3 linked regions of the Caenorhabditis elegans genome follow. The protein of the gene in region 2 interacts with the protein of the main gene of each other region in a pairwise test. Each region holds a gene or a part of one and is shown on either strand. Other genes may lie near its edges.

Region 1 (3,756 bases), 4.1 Mb from region 2:
AGTGCCTTAATTTTGCAGCCTGAAAATTTGTGGAAACTGTAGATTTGACTAAAAAGGCAATTTTTACCTTGACGACCAACAATCTCGGCGACATGCTCCGACGTCGGAACTTCCACGGACTCTGTGACATTTTGCACGCCTATCGACGTTCTGTAGTTGAGAAACTGCGCAATATCCTCCGGATCGCTGACTGGAGAGCACGAGGCAGTGTCCTCCTCGTAATACCAAGCCCCTGGCAATTTATAGGCGATTTGTTCTTCCTTCATTCTGAAAAATGGTTATGTTTGGGCGAAAATCGATTCAAAAATCGAAAAATAGAGGTTTTTCGGAATTTTTAAGGATATTTTCGATGAAAACCGCAGGTACCCATGTAGGAAGGGCAAATGGAGAAAAAGCGACAAAACGAGGCGCATATGATGAGAAAGACAGACGGGCAGCGGTACGCGCGCACAAATGGCAAAGCAGTACACGGACAAAGAGTGGGGCGGGTGGGTGACGACAGGCAACACCAACTGGTGTGTGTGTGTGAACGCGACAAAAATCCGAAAAATCCCGCCAAAAGAACCACCAAAAATTGAAAATTTTCGGCGCCGAAAAAATGAAAGAAAAAACAGAGAGAGTACGGTATCACTCATTTAACGTGTGTGAGATAGTGTGTAATTTTGGGCCGCCGTGTTCACGTACAATACGCGGAGGCGGGGCTTGGATATCGTAGTATTAAGTGGGAAATTAAATACAGTTTTTTTTTGTGTTTTTTCCAAGAAAAATGAAAAATCGAAAAAATTGTGTTTTCAGATATGAAAAATTGAAAATTTTTGTATATTTCAAAAAAATCGATTTTTCGAATGAATTACTTGAAATTTTGGTCATTTTTTAAGCAGTATAAACGAACAAATTTCGATTATTTTTGCAAAAAAAAACCGAAACTTTTTCCACAGCACCTTTGAAATTGACTCTGTTGAAAAAGGAAAAAAAATAGCGCATTTTTTCAAGTAATCTAGAAAAGAGGTTGCGATCAAGAACAAGGGTAATAAAAAGGAGGCAGGCGTGTAACAAAAAATTCGATCCTTTGAATTTTTGAGGAGGAAATCTTTTTTTAAAAAAGGAGAAAAAAATTTGGATTTTTAACTTTCTCACGAAAATTGAAGGGTGAGGCAAAAACTTAATTGCGGTTCGAGGTTGTTTCCAAGAAGACTTTTCCCCTCTTTTCCCTCTTTTCTCTCCCTATTCTCTTCTGTATGTTAAATATCCGACCCACTTAAAAAAAAGGAAGGCGAAATTTCGAGATATTCTGTTTGAATGGCAACACGTTTGCCGATTTTATACCAGTCATCCTTGAACATTCCGTCTATTCTCGCAAGGCCATTTGAGGCTTTTTTAGAAGCGGATTTTTAGAGATTTGGAGGATTTTCAGTGGGAACATTAATCAAAAAGTTCAAAAATCATCCGAAAATCACGAATTTTGAAAAGAAAATTGGATTTTTTTTCGTGTTTCTTAGACTGTTAGCTTATTTGCCGAAAACTCACGGTTTCCAAAATTCGGCGTCGTTCCACGTGTTATGCCCGTTTGAGAAGCCTTCTGGAAAAATTAAAAATTTCAAAAAAAAACTTCAAAAAAATTGCTCACCATTTCTCATAGAAAAAGGTCTAACGCTCACGACTGGCATTTTACCTGAAAATCTGCGATGTTTTGGGGTTAATAATTATGTGGTTGAAAAAAAAATTGATAAGCGGAGAAATTTGTCACCAAAAAAATATGGAATTAAAAAATTGCAATGGAAATCAGAGAGACAAAAATATACTACGGGTACACAAAATTATAAGAATGCGTATTGCGCAACATATTTGACGCACAAAATATCTCGTAGCGAAAAAACAGTAATTCTTTAAATGACTACTGTAGCGCTTGTGTCGATTTACGGGCTCGATTTACGAAATGAATTTTTTTGAATTGTCGTGTTTTCTTTTAATATTTTATCTGTTAATAAATAATTTAATTAAATCGGCATCAGTGCTACAAAAGTCATTTAAAGAGTTACTATAGTTTTCGCTACTAGATATTTTGCACGTCAAATATGTTGTGCAATACGCGTTTTGGGAAATTTGTATTCCTGTAATACAAAAACGACAAAAACGATCCGTCATAATCAGCGACCAAAGAAAAAAAGAAAAGACAGTGGGCTCCCAAAAGGGGGCGGGGACAGTTAGAGGTTCAGAGAAACCGATGGTGGGGGGCGGGTCTCTTTTGTTGTTGTCGTGCAACATTTTTCGTCCAGGGGAAGAAGAGTGAATAAGGAAGAAGAAATGCAAATTAAGGTGGTAGAAGGATGAGGATACGGTACTTTGGGACAGAAGAAACGAGAAAACAATGGAATTTAAAATGAGATTTTAGAAATGTGTAGATGTAAATGACATATTGAAACTGGTCATCTCGTTTTTTTTTGGCAACACTAGTTTCACTTTTAGGCCAATATTCAAGGGGCTACAGTACCCTTAAAGGTACATACTACTTCTCCCATAAAAAGCGGCGGAACGTCGAAAACAGGAGAGCGGTTGTTTTTTTGGAAATCCGATCTTCCGTATATTCCACGCCGAATCTGTTGGTGTCAACATTACAACAAAAACAATTTGTTTGCGTTTTATACGTTTTTTTTTTCGGTTTTTTTAGAGGCCCACCACGATTTACACAAAATTATGCACTCATAGTGCATCGACGAAAAGCAGTTTTTGAAGGGTTGTCGGTTTAAAATGTAATTTCCAAATAAGCAAGGTGCAGAGTGTCCAATAACTAGAAAATCTCGAAACTGTTTTTTTCCCGAAAAATCGCTAAATTTCATTTTAAAATTATCATGTTGAATCGATGAGAGCAGAATGTCGTGGAATTTCAAAATTTGGTTACAGAATGCGCCGTTATAAAGACAGATATTGGTCCTCTCATGGAAAAATCAAAAAAAAGTAATTTGAAAAAAATACCATCATGGTGCATCGAGAACAACTGAAATGAGAGTATTCGGCGGAAATTCCAAAGTTTCCAAAGAAGATTAAAGGTGCATGTAGGTCTCAAAAAACTTTTCCGAGAAGCAATTTTGAAATTTACTTCGAAAACGTTATAGTGCGTCGAGAATGAAACTATTTGGGTCTCGGAGTGATTTTTTTTCTGAAAATCGATAAAAACGTCATGGTGCATCGCAAAAATCGCTACCATTCTTACTCTAAAGTTATCGCCAAACAGCATTATGGTGCATCGAGAAGTTCGAAAATTCTGAAGACGTTAGAGTGAAGGGACACAAAATGAAAGACATTTGCATGTCCCACAATACGGTTAAAAAAATAAATATTAAAATTCAGCTTGAAATTTTCCACCATTAATTTTTCGAAAAGGCTCAAAATGTAACCCAAAATTATCATGGTGCATCGACAAGAACGGAACATCATGGTAAGCAGGCGCGGTTTCAGTGCCTACCTGAACCCTGCCTGCCTCCGCCGCGGATTGAGGCGAGCGGCGGTCGTCTTATTGTCAGGCAGACAAGCCTTTTACCGCCTATATGGAAACCCTACTTCTAAATACGATTTTATTGATTTTGGCGATTTTTATTTTCCCAACAAAAAATTAACCTTCAGTCAATAATCTGTATAATTTACCAACTGAATAATATGAAAACACATGGATCTCACCAAACTTTTTACTTTAAAAGTAAGGAATTCCTCAATTATTCCAAAAAAAAAACAACATGGTGCATGAACAAAAATCTAAAT
Region 2 (3,083 bases):
GAACGGAAAACTTGGGATGATCTGCAATCAAGTATTCGTGGAGGTAGATATGATGAGCAGAAAGGACGATTGAATATGGCTCCGATGAAGAATCGAGTTTATTTGATTGAAGCTCAACATAAAGGAGATGTTGCTTGCGAACAGGTAGAATATAGAATTAGAATCTGATGATTTTTCAAAATTCTAACAAAAATTCCAGGCCGTAGCATCAACTCTTTCCAATGGAGGATATCTTATTCAAAGATGCTCTGATACTCGAGACACAGCTGCATTTCTCAAGGAAGTGACGATTCGTTTGCAGAACAAAGCGGCCATAGAAGAAATTTCGGGTGTTCCATTCAGCCAACTCCAGAATCTTCTCCAGAAAAAGAAGGCGGAAACTGTGAAAGAAGCTTGGGTCCGACAGCTGATGGTTTGCCCGGGAATGTCTCAGAATCGAGCCGAAGCAATTGCCGATCGATTTCCATCCATGGTATCCCTGCTTTCATATTTTCGTGCAAATGGAGACGATGCACCGATTCGACTTCTTCAGCTTTTACCTCAACTAACTAGGCCTATTACTCGTAACCTTTTCAAATTTTTTGTTCAATAAGTGAATCCTGAATGAATCAGAATTAGATTGAATTTTTTATAATTGAATGAAAAATTTTGAAAGGAAGACCAACAAAAACAACATCAACAAGAGAATAACAATGAAAAATGAAAAATTGTGGAATTTAAAATTTTTGAATGGAGACCAAAATCCGATTAAGCGAGATGACTCTCATTTCTGAGATACTCTCCAAGATCGCATTGATGTAGAACGACGAGAGCAGTTGGATCGGCACGCTTACTGTCTGATGTTCCTTTCGCTGACACTCCGAATCTAGAGAAATATATTTAATTAACTTGAATATTAAATGTGAACATACCCCAATGGAACATCGGTCATCGAGTATACGACGATTCCAGCATGAGTTGGAGTTCCGTCGGTCATTCTTGCGATTCCAGACTTGAGAATGTTGTTTCCGTAAAGGAATTGCTGCTCGGCGTTCGGCTTCAGCCACACCTTGAACTTGGCATACGGCGCCAAATAGTCGAGAGCGGTGATTTGGAGATGGAACTTTTTGCTTTTGGTGAACTTTCCCAAGCAAGTTCCAAAAGAGAGAAGTGGCTCACGGGCAATGCAGGCGGCTTGACGCATCAGATTTTCCGAACAGTAATAGACACGTTCCTGAAGAACAAATCGAGTTTTTATTGGATAAAGAACAATTAATTAATACCTTGTGATTTCTGAAGCAATAATCTCCATCATTTCTGTCGATGAGCATCGAGACATTGTCTCCGATGAACGAGGCCAACTTGGCAAATACAAGCGATGTCTCTTCTTCTGTCAGTGGACGCATCTGAATAATTAAGAAATGGGTAGAATAATTATAGACATAATAAAATAAAGATAAAAAATTTTGGAATATAAAACCAAAATTCAGAGCAAAAAGTTTTGTAATAAATATGGAGAACGTTTATAAATTACACAGAACGTGTACCCGAAGGTAAAGGGACAGGTATTCAGAAGAGAGAACGCGTTGAAAGGAAGTGAGAGGAATGATAAAGTTTACAGGGAAATGCCAAAGTAAGAAATTCAAAACTTTTTCAATATTTCAATAAATAGAAGTGGATATAAATTATGTTACAGGAGATGCGATTAAAATTGAAGGAGTCCAATTTGATCAAGCATCGCGTTGTCACTGATAGCCGATTTTGCCGTCGGAGCATCAACTTGAAGAACTAGCTTTCCGCCGTTTAACTGACGGACGAAGGATTGAGATTCGAGAGTCTGGAACGCTGAATGAAGTTCATCGTCATCAAGAGCGGGCATTCGAAGAGCCTCGCAAGCTTTATAATAGGCACGGAGCAGGGAATTCCGATCGAATGTGCATTTCTTGTTGGCAGAAAGTGTTAAAGAGACAGCTAGAAGAATTCGAGGTTGAAGTGGAAGACGAGCACGAGCCAATGGAGACGAATAGACATTGTTGATGATTCCAAGAACTTCACGACATCCATTAACTGGGGTACCAGGAACTTTTGAATCATCAGGAATCATACGACTTTTTTGTTGTTTGAAGATGTGGAGTGCGGTACGAAGATCTCCGCTCATTGCAGCCACTTTACGAGCGGTTAACTCGATTGCCTTTGCGTCAATTGAAGTCTGAAATTATAAAATGTAAAATACTAAATGAACTTAGGAGCACCGGTTCTCTGAGTTTTTCGCTTGGAAAGAATCAAAATGTGCGCAAACGAAAGAATTTCATAATGAGACTGCTGAAAAGTTCTTAGAAAATGGGCGAAATTGGTGATTTTATTTAAAAATAGCTTTTTTCTTCGAAATTTTTTAGCCACCATAATTGTTTTTTTGAAAATTCTCACTACAAAATTAGTTTTTTTTGGTACATTTTGAGTCTATACAAGCCGAAAACCGATACTCATCCTTTAAATTTAAACTTACCTCCTCGTTTTTCATTTTATCATTCAAAATTTCTACGATGTCATCTTTCGTATACGGTTCAAAAACGAGTCTTTTCGGTGGCTTCGCGAGCATCAATTTTGGAAGAAGTCGTTCTGTCAAATCAATCGAATTTGCAATTCCAAGAATGATAATTTTTCGAGACAACGTCTCTGGCCATTGAAAAGCTGCGTAGAGTGCAGCGTTCTTTCGATTCGCGAGATGATCAATCTCATCGAGAACCAGTACCAGAGGAGTTTTGAATTGCTTCACGTGCTTCTCAAAAATTTCTTCATTCGGCTTTCCGTCCAAATCCAAAGATTCGAAAATCGTTTTGAATAGTGCTGATTTGGTATTTGTTGAAGCGCAATTTACAATACAACTTCGAACTGATTTTCCCAATGATTTAAGAACTCTCATTGTGGTCGCAGTTTTTCCAGTTCCAGGTTGTCCACTGACATAAATAGACAACGAAGTATTCGTTTCTTTACTTTTCATAATCCATAATTTCAGTGAATCAAATTCTTCACGTCTTCCTTTCAAAGCCCCTTCGGAAGATGTTGAAATAATTTCTTCGCTGTCAGATTCCGATGAGCTCTCT
Region 3 (3,756 bases), on a different chromosome or scaffold from region 2:
GGTAGGGTTCACACACTGTCCCTGGCGGTTCCGGAGGAATCCCTTTTTGCAGGAACATCCGATGTCGCATTTCTCCATACAGTTTACCAGTGGCTGGGGCTTAACCGGACACTTTTTCTCGAAGCACGCGTTGTGACACTGGTTGGGCTCCTCGTTGGTTCCGCAGGTTTGAGAGCCTGGAAAGTTGCAGTGCGGTGGCGCAATTCTGGTGCATTTTTTCGTCCAATTTTTAGAGTACTTACCAATCGCTGGGCACTCGGCCTCCTTGACACACACTCCTTGGTTGTTTCTGACGAATCCGTCCATGCAGGAGCATCCGACTTGGCAGGCCATCAAGCAGTTCACCTGTGGAGCATTCTTTTGTGGGCACTTCTTCTCGGTGCATGGGTTGTGGCACTCGTTGGATACCTCGTTGACTGGGCATGTGAGGTTGGTGGCTGGAAATTGGTGGGGGGTTAGAGGGGTTTGGGGTCGGGGGTCTTGGTTTGGAGGCTTTAGGATGCCTGGTAGGTTTGTGCTTGGCACCCTTGAAGTCTGGCGCTGGTACCCACGATCTGGGCTCGGTACCCCAAGCTCTGAGCTTGGTACCCATGAACTCTGGGCCTGTGACCCATTAACTCTGGGCTTGTTACCCTTGAAGTCTGGCACTGGTACCCACGATCTGGGCTCGGTACCGTGGAGCTCTGGGCTTGTTACCGTGGAGCTCAAGGCTTGGTATTCTTTAACTCTGGGTCCGGCAGTCCCCGAGCTCTGGGCCAGGTACCCACGAAATCTGGGCCTGGAACCCATGAACTCTGTGGCTGGGGACCCTGAACTGTGGAGCTGGTATCCCTGAACTCTGGGCTGGGGACCTCTGAACTTTGGGCCTGGCACCCCTGAACTCTGGGCCTAAGATCCATGAACTCTGGGGGCTGGTACCTGGGTCTAGATACCCGTTTCGAACTCCGGGCCAGTGTCTGTAGGGCCTGAGATGCCTTAGAGAATGGGCCTTGTCAGGAAGATCTGATTTTCAAGCGGACCCCGCGCTCCAAAACATCAGATTCCAGGACTCCGTGTGCAGCCCGGCCCAAAATTTAGTCTTTCGGTATCCCCAAAATTTGGGGCAGGTACCCCCGAACTCTGGGCCTGGGACCCTTGAACTCTGGGCTTGGCGCCCACAAAGTCAGGAGGCTGATACCCCCAAGCTCTGGGTCTAGATACCCGTTTCGAACTCCGGGCCATTGTCTGTAGGGCCAGTGCGGCCTTAGAGATTGGGCCTTGTCTGGAAACTCTGATGTACTAGCGGACCCAAAATTTCAGATTCCGAGACTGCGTAGCCCGGCCCAAATTTTAGTCTGTGTCCCCTTCTAACCTGGTGGTGGAATTGGAATCGTCTCATTCGCCGCAACATTGCAGTCCTTCTGCTCAACACAACGATTATCCGAAGTTCTGCGGAAGAATCCACTGTTACACTGACATCCCATGACGCATTGCAGTGTGCAAAAAGTCTGCAAAAACCACGTTGTAAGCCGGAATTTGACAACAAAATCTGCTCACCGGAGTCGGAAGCCCGCAAGTCGGCTCGCAAGCCGTGCCACACGTCTGGAAGCTCTCGTTTTCTTTGCATTCTTGGTCTGAAAGGGGTTTAGGTACACTTTTAGGTTGGAAAAACTTACCTCTTGTCGCTGAAAGTTGAGCGTTTGCTCCGATGAGCAGAACGCTGAGCAGCACAATATACTGCATCGCTCCGAAACTCGGAAACTCTGGAAAACTATAAAATCACGCCATTTTATAGCATTTTTATGCGAACCAAAACATAAAGTTTCAGGAAAAACATTATAATAAAAAAACCAGAAAATCGAGAAATCAGACATCAAAAGTGCGGAAAACATTATGTTTTGAGAGAGAAAAGGAGAAAGTAAACAAAAAAAAATGTCTGTGTTTTGATGATTTTTGGGGTCAAAAGATTGGAAATTTTGCAGAAATTGCTGGGAAAAAATGGGGAGTTTAAAGAAAAACAACATTCGAAGTTACAGAAAACTTGAAAACAATATGCAAATATTGCAAAAAAACATGGAATTTTCGGGAAAAAACTATTGTTCAAAGTAAATATTTTTTGATATGTTTTCAAGTTTAAATATGTAGTTTGAACTGTTTTTTCCAAAAAAAAATTATAGAAAAAATCTATGAATTTCAGACAATTTTACATAGGAAAAATCAACTTTTCAGATATTTTTACATAGGAAATTGGAAATTTACGGCATTTTTTATATAGACAAATCAAATTTTGAGACATTATTTTACAGGAAACTCAAAATTTCAAATATTTTTACACTGAAAATTCGAAATTTCAGGAATTTTTACATAGGAAATTCAGAATTTCTGCCATTTTTCTACTGGAAAATCACTTTTTTCAGAAATTTTTTATATAAAAAAATTCAAAATTTGAGACATGTTTCGACTGAAAAATGTATTTTTCCGGTATTTTGAACTGTGAAATTCAGGATTTCGGCCACTTTTAAATGAATAAATGGAAATTTTAGACATTTTTACATAGAAAATTTGAAAGTTCAAACGTTTTTTTTACAGGAAAATCAATTTTCTAGACATTTTTAAACATGAAATCTGAAACTTCAAGAATTTTTTATATAGGAAGTTCAAATTTTTTACGTTTTTGTACTAAAAAATTCAAAATTTCCGGCATTTTCTGCTAGAAAATCAATTTTTCAGATATTTTCACATGAGAAATTCAATATTTCAGATTTCTATACAAAAAATTTGAAATTTAGGACATTTTATACTGGAAAATCATATTTTTAGGATATTTTTTCATAACAGTTTGAAATTTCATGCATTTTTACATAGAAAATTTGAAATTTCTGCCATTTTTCTACTGGAATATCACTTTTTCAAACATTTTTACATAAGAAATGTGAAATGTTTAGAGATTTTTATATAGGAAATTCGAAATTTCAGAAATTTTTTACATATAAAAATCGATTTTTCAGACGTTTTTCTACAGGAAAATCAGTTTTTCAGATATTTTTGTATAGGAAATTTGAAATTTCTGCAAGTTTTTGAAAATCATTTGAGAACTCTGCGTCTAAATTCCCGCAATTCTTGTAGATCTGGGGGGTAGATCAAACCGAAATGGGACAGCATGGGCAGTTTCACTACAAACTACAAACTACACTTGAGTACTAAAATTATACGACTAAATGACGAGACAAAATCAATATTTCGAACCAACAAAAAAATAAACGAAAATCTAACGAAATTCACAAAGTTGTAGTGGATTTTTGGATTAAATGAACACGCGCGAGTTGACTAGAAAAAACGGAAATTGAAGGGTTAATCCCCCAACCCGCCAAATCTTTTATTTTTTGATCTCCCACACATTTTTTACACGTTTTTTTTTGTAAATGATGTGTGGAGATTGGGATTTGTAGGGGGGTTTGGCGGGAAAATTGAATTTTCTGATAGAAAATTTGAGAAAAATGTAAAATTTTCGAGAAAATGGGGTTTTGGGACTACTTTTGGAGAAAAAACCGGCAAAAAAACTGAAAATTTGGCGGTTTTTGGCAGAATTTATTGTTTTTTGGATGTTTCGGGTTATAGGAAATGAAAAGTTCAATAGAAAAACTGAAATTTCTGACATTTTGCAATTAGAAAATTAAAATTTCAGACGTTTTTACATTGGTAATTGGAAATTTCAGACATTTTTGAATAGGAAAATTCTAATTTCAACCATTTTTATGAAGGAATTTTTAAATTTTT

What was found.
Region 1: the proteins of C43E11.9 (region 2) and mex-3 interact in a two-hybrid assay, tested with the Caenorhabditis elegans proteins (one large-scale study listed by BioGRID).
Region 3: the proteins of C43E11.9 (region 2) and Y69H2.3 interact in a two-hybrid assay, tested with the Caenorhabditis elegans proteins (one large-scale study listed by BioGRID).

Annotation. Positions count from the first base shown.
Region 1 is NC_003279.8:125,208-128,963, reverse strand, and holds the start of mex-3 (K Homology domain-containing protein), read right to left. Parts: upstream 1,680-3,756; 5' UTR 1,668-1,679; coding exon 1,628-1,667; intron 1,580-1,627; coding exon 1,528-1,579; intron 268-1,527; coding exon 68-267; intron 20-67; coding exon 1-19.
Region 2 is NC_003279.8:4,266,583-4,269,665, forward strand, and holds C43E11.9 (60S ribosome subunit biogenesis protein NIP7 homolog), read right to left. Parts: upstream 1,386-3,083; coding exon 1,263-1,385; intron 1,214-1,262; coding exon 912-1,213; intron 866-911; coding exon 748-865; 3' UTR 617-747; downstream 1-616. Other genes in the region: mus-81 (Crossover junction endonuclease MUS81), read left to right, coding at 1-144, 200-592; cdc-6 (Cell division control protein), read right to left, coding at 1,685-2,188, 2,486-3,083.
Region 3 is NC_003283.11:18,662,375-18,666,130, forward strand, and holds the start of Y69H2.3 (Follistatin-like domain-containing protein), read right to left. Parts: upstream 1,753-3,756; 5' UTR 1,723-1,752; coding exon 1,656-1,722; intron 1,614-1,655; coding exon 1,537-1,613; intron 1,488-1,536; coding exon 1,352-1,487; intron 438-1,351; coding exon 243-437; intron 177-242; coding exon 1-176.